Schizosaccharomyces pombe: one gene and its partners. Changing the gene in region 3 together with the main gene of any one other region gives a genetic interaction. Each region holds a gene or a part of one and is shown on either strand. Other genes may lie near its edges. The genes, in order: zrg17, SPOM_SPCC297.05 and mug28.

Region 1 (4,024 bases), on a different chromosome or scaffold from region 3:
CTATCCTGCCACCACTGAGACTGTTTCAAGCAAAGCAGCCCGCTCTGCCACCACTCCTGCTTATGTTGGCGGTGCCACTAAAACTCCTAGTACGACAAAGGCTGTTGAATCTACTCCCAGCACCTTGCCTACTTCAGCTTCCACAAATGCTGCTGCTACTACTACCACTAAAAAGCCCAAGGCTGCCAAATCTACTGCTGTACGTGATGATGTTTCTTCTGCTTCTTCGGATAGCGACAAGGGTACCACCGGTTTGGGCAAATCTGAAAGCAAAAGTTCCCGCAAGGAACGTAGAAGCAGCACCAGCAGCGGTCATGGCTTGATGAACAATGTTCGTCATGCCTTGGGTATGTCCAACAAGTAAAGGGAATACTTGCAATATCAAAATTTTTGGACGTAACCTTCATTATCTCGTGAATCCGTTATGAAAAAAGGTTTTTATTGTATGGTTCTTATTTGAAAAAAAGGGACGACAACTTTTTGAGGGGAAAGTTGTCATCCTTTAAAGGTTGGTTCTTTATGATGGAAAGTACTGCGAATTGTTCGTAATTTATTAATGAGATTCTTTGTTTATACGAGTAAAGAAATTGAATGCGATGGATATAGAAAATGTAATGTAGCTTTAGTTTTAAGTAGTTTGATTGTCTGTGGTGGGTTGTATATGCTTGCTTTGGCCTTGCTAGATAATCAAAACAAGAAACAATATAAAATGTACAATAGAACTAACAGGTAAAAATAAATGTACAAAAAATAAATGATTTGAATTTTCTCGTACGAACATGTAAACAATTGAAAAAGACAAACAATCGAGACTTAGAAATACAATTGAAAATAAATAGACAGAGCAAGACAAACAGAGGTTATTCTTAATAAAATAGAGCAAATCTAGCACAATCCCCAATCCACCACGTCAAACAAGCTGTATGCTCACTTCAAATAGAAAGCTTTGAAAATCTTATGCGGTGAATCTTGTTCACTCGGTCGATGTGACCGGTGAGACAGAAGACTTTTTGTTCATGGCCTCACGCATGGATTCTTCAAGTTGATCTAAACGAGTTGACATCGTTTCCACTGTTAACATAAAAAGTTATGATTAGTAAAGCAAAATCTTTCATTATAAATTAGAGAATCGTACATTTCTCAGAGAATTGCTTTTGTAGGGTCTCAAAGTCGCCAGACTATAAAAATCTGTTAGAATGATTAACTAAGCACAATTCTTCTTCTTACAATATCCTCCAATAACTTATCAGTCTAAAAGTAAACAAGGTTAGATCATTAAAAAAAAAGAAAGACTAATCTTAAACGCACCAAAGTCGTGATCGCAGATGTGGATTGAGGATTTTTAGAATTCCCTCTAACAGACGCAGACATTGTAACCGAAAACCTTTTTTTTAATATGTATAGATGCTTCCTTCAGGTAATAAGAACTCACTTGTGAATACAATAGTTGGTATTTGGAAGAGAAATGGAAGAAGTAGGTAAAATAGTTGATGGAACTCAGCTAGGAACCTCTGCGTAATGTTATTTACCTACACATAATTATTTTTATTATTTTACCAAGTGTATTTATTGTCTTATCGAGTACATGTGGAAAAGTCGTAGAAGGAGAATTCAGGCCCTTGGAGTGGCCTTTTTTTTATAACTTAATGATGATTTTATTTTTAATTAAACGAATTAAAAAAATTACTCATAATATCCTTGTATGGATGACTTTGAGCCGCATGTTTGAACCCTATATATATGGCGTTCCACGATGGCTCTGAAAGGTAAGTTTGTTCATCTTTAACCGTTTTCTACTAAGCGTTTTTTATTCCTAGTCACTAAAAAGTAGATGTCTCAAAGATGGTACAACACTATGGCTTTTTATAATCATTTACTGATACAGTCAATATCTTTATCTTAGACTGTTGCAATTTGGGCCTAGTACCAACTGGTCTTACCCATCCACTCCACCAAACGCATGGGTGAGTGAGTTTTTAAAAAAGCCATTATAGAATTGTTGAAAGTATATCTAAATGAATGAAAAATGACTCAAAATCATAACATCCCGACTGCTATTCAGATTCAAAACCCTATAAATAATAATGTCTCTGTAACTATTAGTGATCAGTTACCAAAACCGAGTGCGAATAATCCCAACTTGTTAAGCGTGGATACTCGCCCTACCCACAGAAAAGGCCATCATCACAAACATTCGCTTTCGCATCAATATTTCTTACCACCCAAGAATCGACAGCCGTTAGAGATACCTGCCAGTTATCCCATTCCTACTTTTAAAGAAACATTCGCAATCCTTACTTTTCCTCAAAAACTAAAATTGACAAGCTCAATCCTATTCTTTTTGGTCGCCGTAGGGGTATTACTCTCGGGGGATGCTACTATCCTACTCACTTTATCTTGCTCTTTAATCGTAGAAGGTGTTTTAATCATTATCAACGTTTGGCGTGAAACATTGGATTCGTTCCTCGTCTGGCGACACACGTGTTTACGTTACCCATTTGGAATGCAACAAATGGAATTACTTGTTGATTTTTCCTTCTCAATCCTCTTAATCTTCCTCGGCATGAACCTCCTAAAAGAGCCTGCCGAACATGCTATAGAAGATTGGGGTAATCTCCATCATGCTGGCGATCATGAAGAAGAGACTGTACACATTCATTTAACCATTTCATTGTTTGCTTCGGCTATAATATCGGGATTTGCATTATTGTTGGATCACCCTAGTGCTCACATACGAGAACTCAATTCTCGCTTTTTCCATGGACTCACATTAGTACCTTCACTCATCCTCGTGTTGCTGTTAAGTCTTGGTTATCAAGTTGGTTCATTTCTCAGCCATTTGCTTTCCTTAACTATTGCTGTTACTGCCCTGGTGAATGGGTTCTCCATTGCCAAATCGCTTGCCTTAATGCTCTTGTTGACATACTCTAATAAAGAAAAGGTCTTTGAATGCGTCTCCCTTATAAAAGAGGATACACGAATTGACCAACTTAATTATGCTGCCATTTGGCAACCTCATTATAATACTTGTATTGCTAATATTGGCTTAACCGTTTCAGGAGGTGAACGAGAGCAGGCAGCAGTTCGTGAAGATATTATAAGGATTATACAAAAAACAGTAGGAAGCATATTTGGTGCTGGTGTTCAACCCAAATGGGAAATATCAGTAGATATCCAGAGAGCCTAATCGTTTTTTCCTATCTTACAACCAACCGTGTTTGTAACTCACTCGTTATATTTTTATTATCATTTAATGCATGCATATTTTATCAACATATGACATTATCCACCTTTGCGGAACTTTCGCTGTCTCGAACAGTTTGGATTCATAATCTAATAAATGCCATCCATATTTACTATAGAATTACCAACACCTTTTTCATTCTTTCCTTTAATTTATACCGCTTATTACAAATTATAAGGAGAATACAAACTCAAGATTTTAATATGAAATGAATAATTTTATTATTATAAATAAGGCATGTGTGGTCGTTGCATACTAAAAGGATCAAGTCTAACTAATAATAGAATGCGTATATAGAAGGTATTTTCATATGTAAAAAAAAAAAAGAAAAACGTAAGCATATATATGACCCTCAATTAACATACAGATTCCAAAGGACAAGTAATGCAATTTACTACTTTAAACGTAGCTCTTACCAAGCTTGGAAAGAAAGCGCAAAAAACAAGTTATCGTTTATGAGTTATCATTCCACTGGGATAGAACATTCCAGTCGTCAGCAAGTCCAATGTGCTTAGACGAAAGTTCGTCAGAAGCACCAAAGTCATCGTTAGAGCCGAAGCTAACAATGTCTTCCTCATCTTCTTCATCCATATCACACCAACTGCGGCCAAATTTAAGATGATCCTTGTTTCCTTTAATACTGTTAGGAAATACGATAGCTGGTGCACTGCAAGAATAGGGAGAACGTTTCGTATTAACGGGTACTGCTGTTGCAATGGATTTTCCAATATGCATATTATTGAGACTTTCACCAAGTCCAGAATCATAGGAACGTTCGCT
Region 2 (5,924 bases), on a different chromosome or scaffold from region 3:
AAAAGTAAATGGTATTCGTTGGGAAAGAGAATATCTCAACCCTCTTATGCTCGTCTTGTAGGTCCAAGTCGACCAACTTTGGAAAATTTACAAGATCGACGAGAATTGCAGGAGCAATTAAACGAGTTGAGAAAGCTATCCCGAAAATCAGCTTTTAAATCGCAAGCTAAAAGGGAGACAGAATTGTTGGATGAAATTCTTCCAAAAGAACCAGCAGGAAGCAAAGAAGCTATGCAACAGAAAAAGAAGGAAAAACGAGCTGCTTTGAAGCATTATCGCGAAGCATCTGACAATGAAGAAGACTTGAAAGAAACCGACTTATACGGAGACCGGGACTCATTTCAGTCCCGATTGAAGCAAAAAAAACAACGGTCAGAATTCAGGGCTTCAAAACGAGAAATGGAAAGACTTGAGCGCGACCAAGAGCTTCGAAATAAAATTGAGGAAAGAAATAAAAAAGAGTTAGAAACAATTGAAAAGCTACGAGAGTTAGCCAAGGCTAGGTTGCAAGGTTTTTCTAGTTGATCATTTTAGCAATTACGCCGACATTTATAAAACCAAAGAAGTGTGCAACTATTCATTATGATTAGAGCTTTTTAACTATGAGTCAAACATAATGAGTATTTAATTTCTCTCAACTTAAGATGTATATGACTTTATATTAAAAATTCACAAATTTAATCAAAGTATAAAAAATGAAAAGCGTTTTAGAGTTGTTCGATTAAATATTTTAACTATAACCAAAAAGAAGTCTATTGAGCATTAATAATTCGTAAATAGTGCGTCTATAACCTAACCTAGTGTAAAGCATTGTCATTCTTCAACGAAGCTGGTATAGGTGCAACCTCAATTCTTTGGATTTCCAATGACTTGTCTCGTAGAAAAGGGGTGGCCTTTCCAAAAAGCCTTGGTTTACCATGATTGCGTTCACAAAGAAGTAACTGATCAAACAGTGCCACTCGGGGATCATTTAGATCAAGCTCGCATCGATCGCCAATGAATTCTGCAAATGCCTGTGAGCTACAAAGTGATGAAATCCAACTCCCGTGAACTTTGGAAGCTTGCCGAGTAAATTTATTGAAGTCGAATGATCCTATAAGACCACCACTTCCTTTAGAAATACCAAAATTTTCACGAGACATATGAGGTTTGCGTAAATAATTCCGATATGACCCTAAGATTTTTATAAAGAATTTTAAAAATGTCACTAATATCTGCTGACTATTAAAACATGCTGGAACACATGGCATTGATATATGTTTTATGAAATCCAGATTAACACGTAGCCCACAATTATCGCATTGAACATGGACGTCACCCAATGCATATCCTGAGACAGCGCAAATGGAGCCAGCGCTATCCGCGGGAAACATTTTATAGATGCGTCTCAGCTTATGCCCCTCTTTGTACATAATGTGAACTTTTTGTTCTCCTGGCTTAGAACTCACAAGGTTCACAGCAGATCCGGTGTTAATAGAACCAGCTTTATTTTGATTAGATTCAGAAGAACGAAGTTCAGGGACCGAATAAGGTGATGTGAGGGAATTTCTTCTTATCGTCGATTGGAAAGAAGAAGAAGAAAACCGAAACTTTGAAGAAGATGGAGAAGCAGGTCTCGTAAAAGGGGGAGAAGAAAAGTTGCGAGCATGCTCAGGCGCCTGTAAACGCGCATATAAAAGTTTTGAAGCTGATGACTGGCGCGAGTCAGTTTGCTTCGCAAAATAAATACTCGAAGGATTGTCTTGAAGCTTAAGGAAACCGTTTAAGATAGGAGAGAGTACATAAGGCCTTTTGGAAAAATTGGAGCTTCTAAAAGACAAAAGTGCTGGGATAGAAAACTTTTCTCTCAAAGGAAAACATGTAACTGTACTCAACGAAAGGACATTATTTGGATAAGTTTCCATTGTGTACTTTGGAGGGCTATGTGGTACATAAAATTTATCATGAAGTGGCGCCGCAAGCTTCAGATGGGCCTGTAACTTAGATCGCAATGAGCGAGAAAGACGAACAATTTTCCCAAACGTAGATACAGAATTTTTATCAAGGTCACAAACAACAAGCGGAATATTGTCCAGAGGAACGTCGTCCATATGAAAAAAGTACGATAGAGTGCCAATAATGTACGAACAAGGAGCTTCAAAACAAGATATCAAACGCCTGGGTAAAACAGGAATATAAAGCCCTTGCCACGTAAGAGGATAAAGCAAATGTAGTAAAGCTTGTGATGCATATCCCAGCATTCCTAAGTTTTCAGACAAAAATATAACTTTAGCTTCCATTAAAGCAGCCTCAAAAAGAACAAGAATATTAGGGATACTTAATGCACGAAATAACGGATATAAGTCAACATCATTCCAACCTGGGATTTCATTGACTGGACTCCTAAATGCGTAAAGATTTAATGGGCCGACATTAACTTGCAACTGCAGAAGTCCTTTCGGCGGCAAAGGAACATCACAGCAAATGTTTTTTACAAACGATTGAAGGTTTAGTGATTTAAGGGAATTTAAATCTGACGAAGGGATAAAATCGAGATCTTCAGCTTGAATAGAGGAGCATACTATTCGAAGCCAATCCCGACAAAAGGACTGCAAATGTGAATGCTTACTCAATAATCCATAAGCATTGGGTATCCATAAAGTCCTGTTATTTGTCAGTCCATGAACAAATCTAGGTAATTTATAGCGCATAGGACGAAGAAGTTCAGTATAAAGAATAATGTTTTCTTCACAGACATCAATCTTTTCCAAGAGTATAGGATCGATGGAATCACTCCCTTCAAGTTCCTTTTCTTGCATTTTTAATAATAATGAAGAAAGTTTTGATCGCTCCGTTTCTAAACTGGATAAAAGCTTCTCGGCAACCTCACGGTCTTCCACAGTCGTATTATTAGCTCTCCAAACTTCACATTCCTTTTCCAAGTCATTTTGCATAGATTGAGGCATTGCAACCCAAACTACCACGCAAATCCCATACAAGTGGCTGTTATTGTCACTGGTCAAAGCAAAAGAGTGGTAGGTTGATACAGGTCTAACATCCGATTCTTTTATAGTTATGTCGTTAGGAAAAGCAAACATCGGAACATAATTAGGGAAATCACAACGGTCAATAGTCGGTGTCTCATTTTTTATGTCCTTGGAAGAAGGGAATTGATGGAGGAGAGAAGGAGGATAGCGTCTCTCGAATGGATGGGTAGCAGCGAATAAGGGCAGGGCATCAGGATATGCAACATAAGACTGATACAAATCATTTTGGGTATGCGTAGTACCGATACTAACGCGGTTTTGTAAATGCTCTTTATCGATGACAGAAGGCTCGGAGTATGGCTTTCTGGAATGATACTTTCGAGGTGTTGAAGTATTAGAGGATAAGCTACGACGATGTAAGGACGTAACGGAGGCATGGTCAAATGAATCCTTTTTTTTCTTGGTCGGTGTGTTAGATGTTGAGTGATGATAATCTAAAAACGGCTTCTTTGGACCCACAGAATTGGATCCAGTGGTGTTGTGATGCGCAAAGGTATTTTCTTTATAAAAAGAAGACTCAGAAGTGATTGACACTCTTTTTAATGGCGACTTCCTTGTATTGTTTTGGATGATAGAACTAGAAACAGATATGGCGTCTTCATCAAGTCTATCTGCTCGAAATTGAGAATTGGATACACTCACAAATCCGTTAGAGAGACCTGCGAGAAAGAAATGATCTGCGATACTTTCCATTCCACTCGCAACTTAAAGCATCGTAAATGATCGCAATCGCATATGCAATAATTAAGGAAAAGATAACTTGTTTTGTAGCTTATATTATATTTTTGAAGAATAAACTTACTAAATATGCCACAAATCGATTCCACATAAATCGTGCGAAACTTTTTTCGTAAGGAATTGGGCACTTCAACGCTAACAGTATAACTATTCCTACGCACTTTCCAACCTGTTCAAATGCCAATTTAACTACAGATCGCCAATACCTCAAAAAGCATCCTCCATACACTAAATGGAAAACGGTAACTTGCGACTGTTTATGCAGCAAAATGTTCGATAGAAAAACATAGCGCACTATAACCTTTTATCTACTAAAGTGAATATAGCAACGTACCATGACCCGAAGTATCACCACAATAGGTTTAAGGAGTCTTATAGCTGCCTTATTTGGGAAAAATAAATTTTTTCCTATTAACTTACTAACTATTTTTGCCATTCGTATATGTGAAATAAGTTCCTTGTTTGGTTTATTTCTATTAGAAATTACTAATTTAATATATGAAAAAAGAAAGACATCAAACGTGAGCCCAAAGAAATCAACTCCCTGGCTCATCTATAAAGACACGAAACATCTAAAATTAAGTAATTCACAAAAGGTGTAAGAAGTGAAGCACACCGATCATTAAGACAGTTGTCAAATTGATTTTGTAATGCGGATTCCTGTTATTCGTAGTCCGCTTGAGGTAAGGTATTGTAGGATAGCTAGAAGATAGAAGAAAGTTAAAAGTCACTTTAAATTAACTTTTTTGTGTTTCGATTCATTTATATTTATTTGTGTGAATTTTGCTATGAGTTGAGTCAGACAGTAGAAAAAGCAAATGTCGAAGATTGTTGTTGTTGTATAATCGAAAGGGTAATGTTACGGATCAACGATTCACAGCATGATTCATAATCATTTATATAAAAGAAAACATTTCACATTCTTTTCTTTTCTTTAGTAAAATCAGTCGACAGACTGAACGATTGTGTCTAATTATAAGTTTACTAACGCTTTAGATTCGTGATACAGAACGAAAAGGCCGAGGAGTATTTGCTCTTGAGCCTATTCCAGCACAAACATGCATTGAGATTAGTCCTGTATTGATGTTCAGCAAAGAAGAATATGAACAACATGGACAGTATACAGTTCTTAACGAATACACATATGTTTGGAGCGAAGGCAAACAAGGATTAGCTCTAGGACTTGGAAGTATGTTCAATCACGACCGTCATCCAAACGTGTATTGGAAAAAAGACAATCGCAATAACTACATCTCATATTACACATTACGAGAGATAAAAACAAATGAGGAACTCTGTATTTCATACGGAGATCATCTGTGGTTCGAAGACGAAGCATCATCTGCTTCACGAATAAGTCCAAACGAGGAAAATGAAGATTTTCCCTTACAAAATATTAGTTTATAAAAATTCTTCATACGTCCAATTTGTAGGCTTTAGAAGATAAAATTTCTCAAATGGTAGCAATATTGCTGTCTGTCTTCTAAATCACACCATACAAAAGTTGCCCCACTTCACCTATATTCAATAGATTTGTATCACAACAGCACATAGAAGAAATTACAAACTAGGTCATAAAAAAATAATAAAATGATATTTATTTCCTATGCCAGGAATAAGAAGAATTCATCAAAAAAACCAGTTTCAACGTCTAATCAGTAAATTTTTTTTGCTCATAGGAAAAAAAATCACGATATACGAGGTAAACAAAAGGCACATTAGATAATAAAACATTTTAAAATAAACGAGTAAAACGAGTGGAATGCGCAAGAATCATCAATAAAGTCACCTTTTTTCCAAAAGACTTGGAACCTAAGCGTCTTATTTAGAAAAAGGAAAAAAAAAGGCTTCTCTTGAGATGGGGCAAACATATAGGACAAATAAAAATCTAAAAGGTCCGAATGACATGATTTGATGAAAACGAATGACAAAGTGTTATTGAACACTAGGTAAAAAGCCAAGAATAAGAAATGAGTAATTAAAAGACACATGCAACCTACATTGCAAAAAAAAAACAATTGAATAAAATTGGGAAATGTTCATACAGCACTCAATTAGTTGGTGTGAAGGAATGCTCAATGCAGTAGATAGGTGTGTCAGAGCCCCCGGCTAAATGAAGGTTAGGTGATGATACAAAACCAGGAACCACTGGATGAAAAT
Region 3 (4,550 bases):
ATTCTGATTACGATCGCTGTTGCCCTCTTTACAAGACTTATCATATGATGCGAAACATGATTGCTTACTACACAAAGGCTAAAAGTGCCGTTGAAACTGGTAGCGTTCCTTGGTCAAAGATTAAAGAAAGTACTTCAGATATCTTTTATGAGTTAACCTCGATGAAATTCGAAAACCCTAATGAAGGCGAGAAGGAAATAGTCGAACACTATGAAACTCTGCACAAGAAGATTGAGGACAAGTTTCACACTCTGACTGAGTAATTATTTTTTGAACAACTAAGTTTTTAATTCTAGTTTTTGCTGGCTATAGACTACTAGCTTGATAATACAGACTTCCAGTAAACATTGCTTTCACGTTATCCAAATATATGTCCTAAGTAATTTTGCACATTAAATCGCGAATCAACCGCTTCTCGAAATAATATATTTACACAAATACAAGCCGTCTTCAACAAACTCTTTTGAAGAAATAAATTCAGTGATATAGTCAGTAGTTGTAAATTATGAGAAAAACAAAATAATGACTAGAAGGGATAGTAATAATAATAATAATAATAAAAACAGTAATAGTAATGACTAATCAGATTTAACTTTTTAAGGAGAAAAAGTATCTTTTTGGATATATCGTTAATAAATAAATAATAATCAGTTGAACAATCAATCATCCCCGTCACGGTCAAAAATATCCCAAAAATCTTGCTGATCCAAGTCTGCATCAGACAAAAAAGGAGACTTCGTTTCAGATGAAGAATCATTGGTGGAAGGCGTAGTTTCCTGGTCGTTTTTTAAAATTTCCTGAGCAGACAGGTCTTCAGCTGGATAATCGTGGTTGGAGGAAGAACCTCCAAACATAAACGGAATATTCAGTCCCAGTGCTGGGCCACCATGAATACGGCTAAAATAATCAAAATCAATAGTGACAGCACTGCCTAGCATAACTGCCCTTTCTTCTAAACTCATATCACGTGCACAAACATCATTAGCGATTCCATGAGCAGCTTGAAGCAATTGATTTTCATTTACAGAACCATTGGCTGCACTCGTAGAGGTAAATCGAAGAACGTAATTACCAGTATCAGTAAAAAATTCACGAGGAAGCCCCATGAAATTCCGTGAAACACTACCTAGGATGCGATCCTGCTCGTTTCGCAACAGAAACTCCCAACTTAGCACTCGCTCATCAATTTTGGCAAACTGTTCAAACATAGAACGCTTCGCAAGGAACAATTCATAGCGACGGCGCCATAAATGCCATTTTTGAAGGACTTCGCCAACTAAAGTAGACGAGAACTTACTGTAATCAATAGAATGAATTTGTAACCGGGAGTTTATCCAAGAAAATGGTCGATTGAGTTGTAACACCAACTGGCCGTTACTGTCCATTACATCTGCCTTAAACGCACGATGTGTGTGGAAAAATTGTCTTGATAAACTTGATAATATGGATGAGGCACCCTGTTCTGCAATGTATCCAAGATGCTGACCTTGTTGGTTAAGAATTACATAGCGGTTAGCCTGTTCATAACCAAGAAAAACATTCATCATTTCAAGTTGCCTCTCTACTATAAGAACATCTTGTGATAATAAAGGGGCCGCTGGAGAATTTAATGGAATAGCTCCAGTACTGCTAATGGCAGCAGGCTCTTGAGAGACTACTTTCGCTGTAGCGTCAATGTATCGTGTAGATTTGCTATGATGATAAAGGCGACATCCAAACCGTTTGAGCCCATAAAGCATAGTTAAATGATTACTGGAGACAAAGGTTTGAATTGGAGTAATGTTAGCCCATAGAATTTCAAGCATAGGTTTGAGAAATTAAAATTAGTTTGTGGTTCACCTATACCACAGAGGGTTGCTGAGACAAATATGTAATAAAGGCTGTGTAGTAAGTTTCACAATTTAAAATAGCACATACTATGCGATTACCTTAAAGCTTTACGAAATATAGGATACTACATTAAATTGCTTATGAACAGCTAACATTGCGGTAATTTCCTGTTTACTTTTGTTTACATTGAGAATTCCGAATTCTATAATTACCAACTAGACACATCACAATGATTGCACTTGAAAAACTTTCAGAAAAGAACAAAAGGAGCACTAAGAAGTGTGAAATTTCCATTTACGTAGGGAATTTACCTTCAACGTGCCAAAGCTCAGATCTTCATGAACTGTTTGAACCTTTCGGTAATCGTATATGAATAAACAATTTTTTCTCTAACTGTTTAAGGTAATTTCTCAAAATTCCACATGCTAAGTAGAAAGAAGAATAAGAGTACTGACTCTAAATCCCCAACTTTATTTGCATTTATCACATTTGAAAACAAATGTAGCGCTGACAACGCAATTGCCTCCTTAAACGGGAGTTCGTTCCAAGGAAATACTTTGTACGTAGATTTTAAAATAATAAACGCTAATAGAGCAACAATTATAGGAAGGTCGAGTATACGCATATCGTGGAGAGATACAAAAATAAGTTGGAAAATGGAGTTGACCAAATTCATCACTCGAATAATGAAAAAGCAAAAATTCGGTTTTCAAAAATAGAAAAGTATACAAAGGAAACACGACCGACAGTATCAGAGGTTCGAGTTAGTACCAAAGACAAAAAGGAATATTCGATGAATACCTCAAATTTAGTTCAATCAAACCCCCCAAAAGTGCACGACAAAGAGAATGCATTTGCAGAAGCAACAGGAACTAGTATACTTAGCTCAAAAGCAGTTCAAACACTCTTAGTTTCAGATTTCACGGAGAATGAGCCAAAGCATCTGTCTATCAGGCCAAATTGCAAAGATAATAATACACCGTCCATTTCTAACACTTTTATTGAGCCATATAAGGAAAATAACACGGAACATTTACACCTAAAATCTGCTTTTGAACCCTGTCAAATGATGCCAGGTATGCTTCTAGAACAGAATCCCCAATTTTTGTACGACAACCCTTCTATTTTTGTGATTGGGATTTTAAACCTTCCGTTGAAAGTATCACCAGTCGAGCTTTACAATGAGTTTAGCAATCATGGTCACATTCTCGGTGTAGCCATCAATCAAAGCATAAATGAAGATATGACTCACTACGCAGAAGTGGCTGTGAGCACCTATGAAAGTTGCATAGAGGTATTAAGCAAGCTATTTTTTGCTATAGCATTACTGACCTTTTAATTTAGATCATTGAAAAATTTCACGCCATTGCGTATGAAGGATCCATTTTACAACTTTTTATAAAACAACCTGTTCAGGGATTTTGCTCTAATTTGTTAAATCACCCAGAAGGAACCATGACAAATTTATTGCCCCCAAATATGGAAATGCCTCAGCCGTTTGAAATTCCAGTGATTGCCAAAACTTCTGCTTTGCCAAATCCATTTATTTCATTCCCTTCTTTCCAAACATCGTATGAAACGACAGTAACGCCAACACCAACCTCAACACCGACAATTGATCCTTGTAATTTATTTGTTAAAAACTTGGATGATAATATAGTAGGAAACACACAACAATTAGAAGAACTGTTTTCGAAATTTGGAAGGATAAAATCTTGCACTTTAGCGTCGTATCCCAGTACAGAAATATCCAAAGGCTATGGTTTCGTATCCTTCAGTCATCCATTTGAAGCTGTGCAAGCAATTAACACGTTAAATGGAGTGTTATTCGGAAAGAAAAGATTATTCGTGAATTATGCAGAAAAGAGAGAAGATCGCAAAAAGCGACTGAGTGCTATATTTAGCCAATCTTACCCTCCAGTTGTTCCATCGCCCTCTCTAACAATTCCAATGGCTACTGAACCACAAATTTTAGAGTATCATCAGGAATGGCCTCAACCTCTAATACAATCTATACAGCAGCACGGGTATAGCGATCCTAGACAAACATTACCAACTCGTTTAGATTCATGTGCCGCTAAGCTACGTGAAGCGGTGATTTCAAACGAAAACCTAAACCCAAGCCATAAATTCGGCATAAAACACTCCACATTCAAAACTTCACTATCGCCTTTAACCAACATTGTATTAAACCAATAAATAAAAGCAAGATATGTCTAAAGGACATAATATCAGTACCTGTCGTTTAAATATTTTAACAGTTCTTTTTTTTAATCTATCTCCCATGAAATTTAGGGACATAGTATTATACAAAGAAGATCGGAAAAAGTTGAAACACAAGGAGTCGTTAACAACGGTTGAAATTTCACATTTTAGCTCTGGAAAAGTATGTTTATTTTATAAAAGAAGAAAAGAAGAAAAAACCCCAAAAAAACAAGAATAATAAAAGATAATTGGACAGCTCTGCGAATATTTTTATTTTCTCAAAATATGAATACGCTCATTCTACATTAAATCACTCAATCTACACAAAAGGAATTAGTATAATAAAATAGTTTATAAAAAGAACATACTTATCTGCTTTTTTGACGATCATATAGCGAAGAACCGAAGGTTCAAGTCTCAGAATCCTCTGTATCTCAGATTGAACTGTGGGGTTACTGTAAAAGGTCATAGACCACCAGTGACCAAAAGAGTAAGATTGATTTAGTTTTTTTATA

What was found.
Region 1: mutations in mug28 (region 3) and zrg17 together harm fitness more than expected from each alone (negative genetic interaction), as found in Schizosaccharomyces pombe (one large-scale study listed by BioGRID).
Region 2: mutations in mug28 (region 3) and SPOM_SPCC297.05 together harm fitness more than expected from each alone (negative genetic interaction), as found in Schizosaccharomyces pombe (one large-scale study listed by BioGRID).

The regions. Positions count from the first base shown.
Region 1 is NC_003423.3:1,944,325-1,948,348, reverse strand, and holds zrg17 (Golgi zinc importer, CDF family, Zrg17), read left to right. Parts: upstream 1-1,942; 5' UTR 1,943-2,026; coding exon 2,027-3,187; 3' UTR 3,188-3,412; downstream 3,413-4,024. Other genes in the region: SPOM_SPBC16E9.15 (uncharacterized protein), read right to left, coding at 974-1,071, 1,136-1,178, 1,228-1,251, 1,309-1,371; serine/threonine protein kinase Ksp1, read right to left, coding at 3,698-4,024. UniProt on the Schizosaccharomyces pombe protein: Probable transporter involved in the regulation of zinc homeostasis.
Region 2 is NC_003421.2:1,880,563-1,886,486, reverse strand, and holds SPOM_SPCC297.05 (diacylglycerol-binding protein), read right to left. Parts: upstream 4,009-5,924; 5' UTR 3,720-4,008; coding exon 798-3,719; 3' UTR 638-797; downstream 1-637. Other genes in the region: SPOM_SPCC297.06C (uncharacterized protein), read left to right, coding at 1-525; histone lysine methyltransferase Set7, read left to right, coding at 4,415-4,447, 4,761-5,171; calcium/calmodulin-dependent (CaMKK) protein kinase Ssp1, read right to left, coding at 5,815-5,924.
Region 3 is NC_003424.3:1,648,953-1,653,502, forward strand, and holds mug28 (RNA-binding protein Mug28, implicated in mRNA processing), read left to right. Parts: upstream 1-2,059; coding exon 2,060-2,189; exon of another isoform or gene 2,190-2,232; coding exon 2,233-2,389; exon of another isoform or gene 2,390-2,436; coding exon 2,437-3,124; exon of another isoform or gene 3,125-3,174; coding exon 3,175-4,029; downstream 4,030-4,550. Other genes in the region: vma1 (V-type ATPase V1 domain-containing subunit A), read left to right, coding at 1-263; pls1 (phospholipid scramblase), read right to left, coding at 660-1,805; mrp17 (mitochondrial 37S ribosomal protein bS6m), read right to left, coding at 4,336-4,354, 4,404-4,550. UniProt on the Schizosaccharomyces pombe protein: Has a role in sporulation.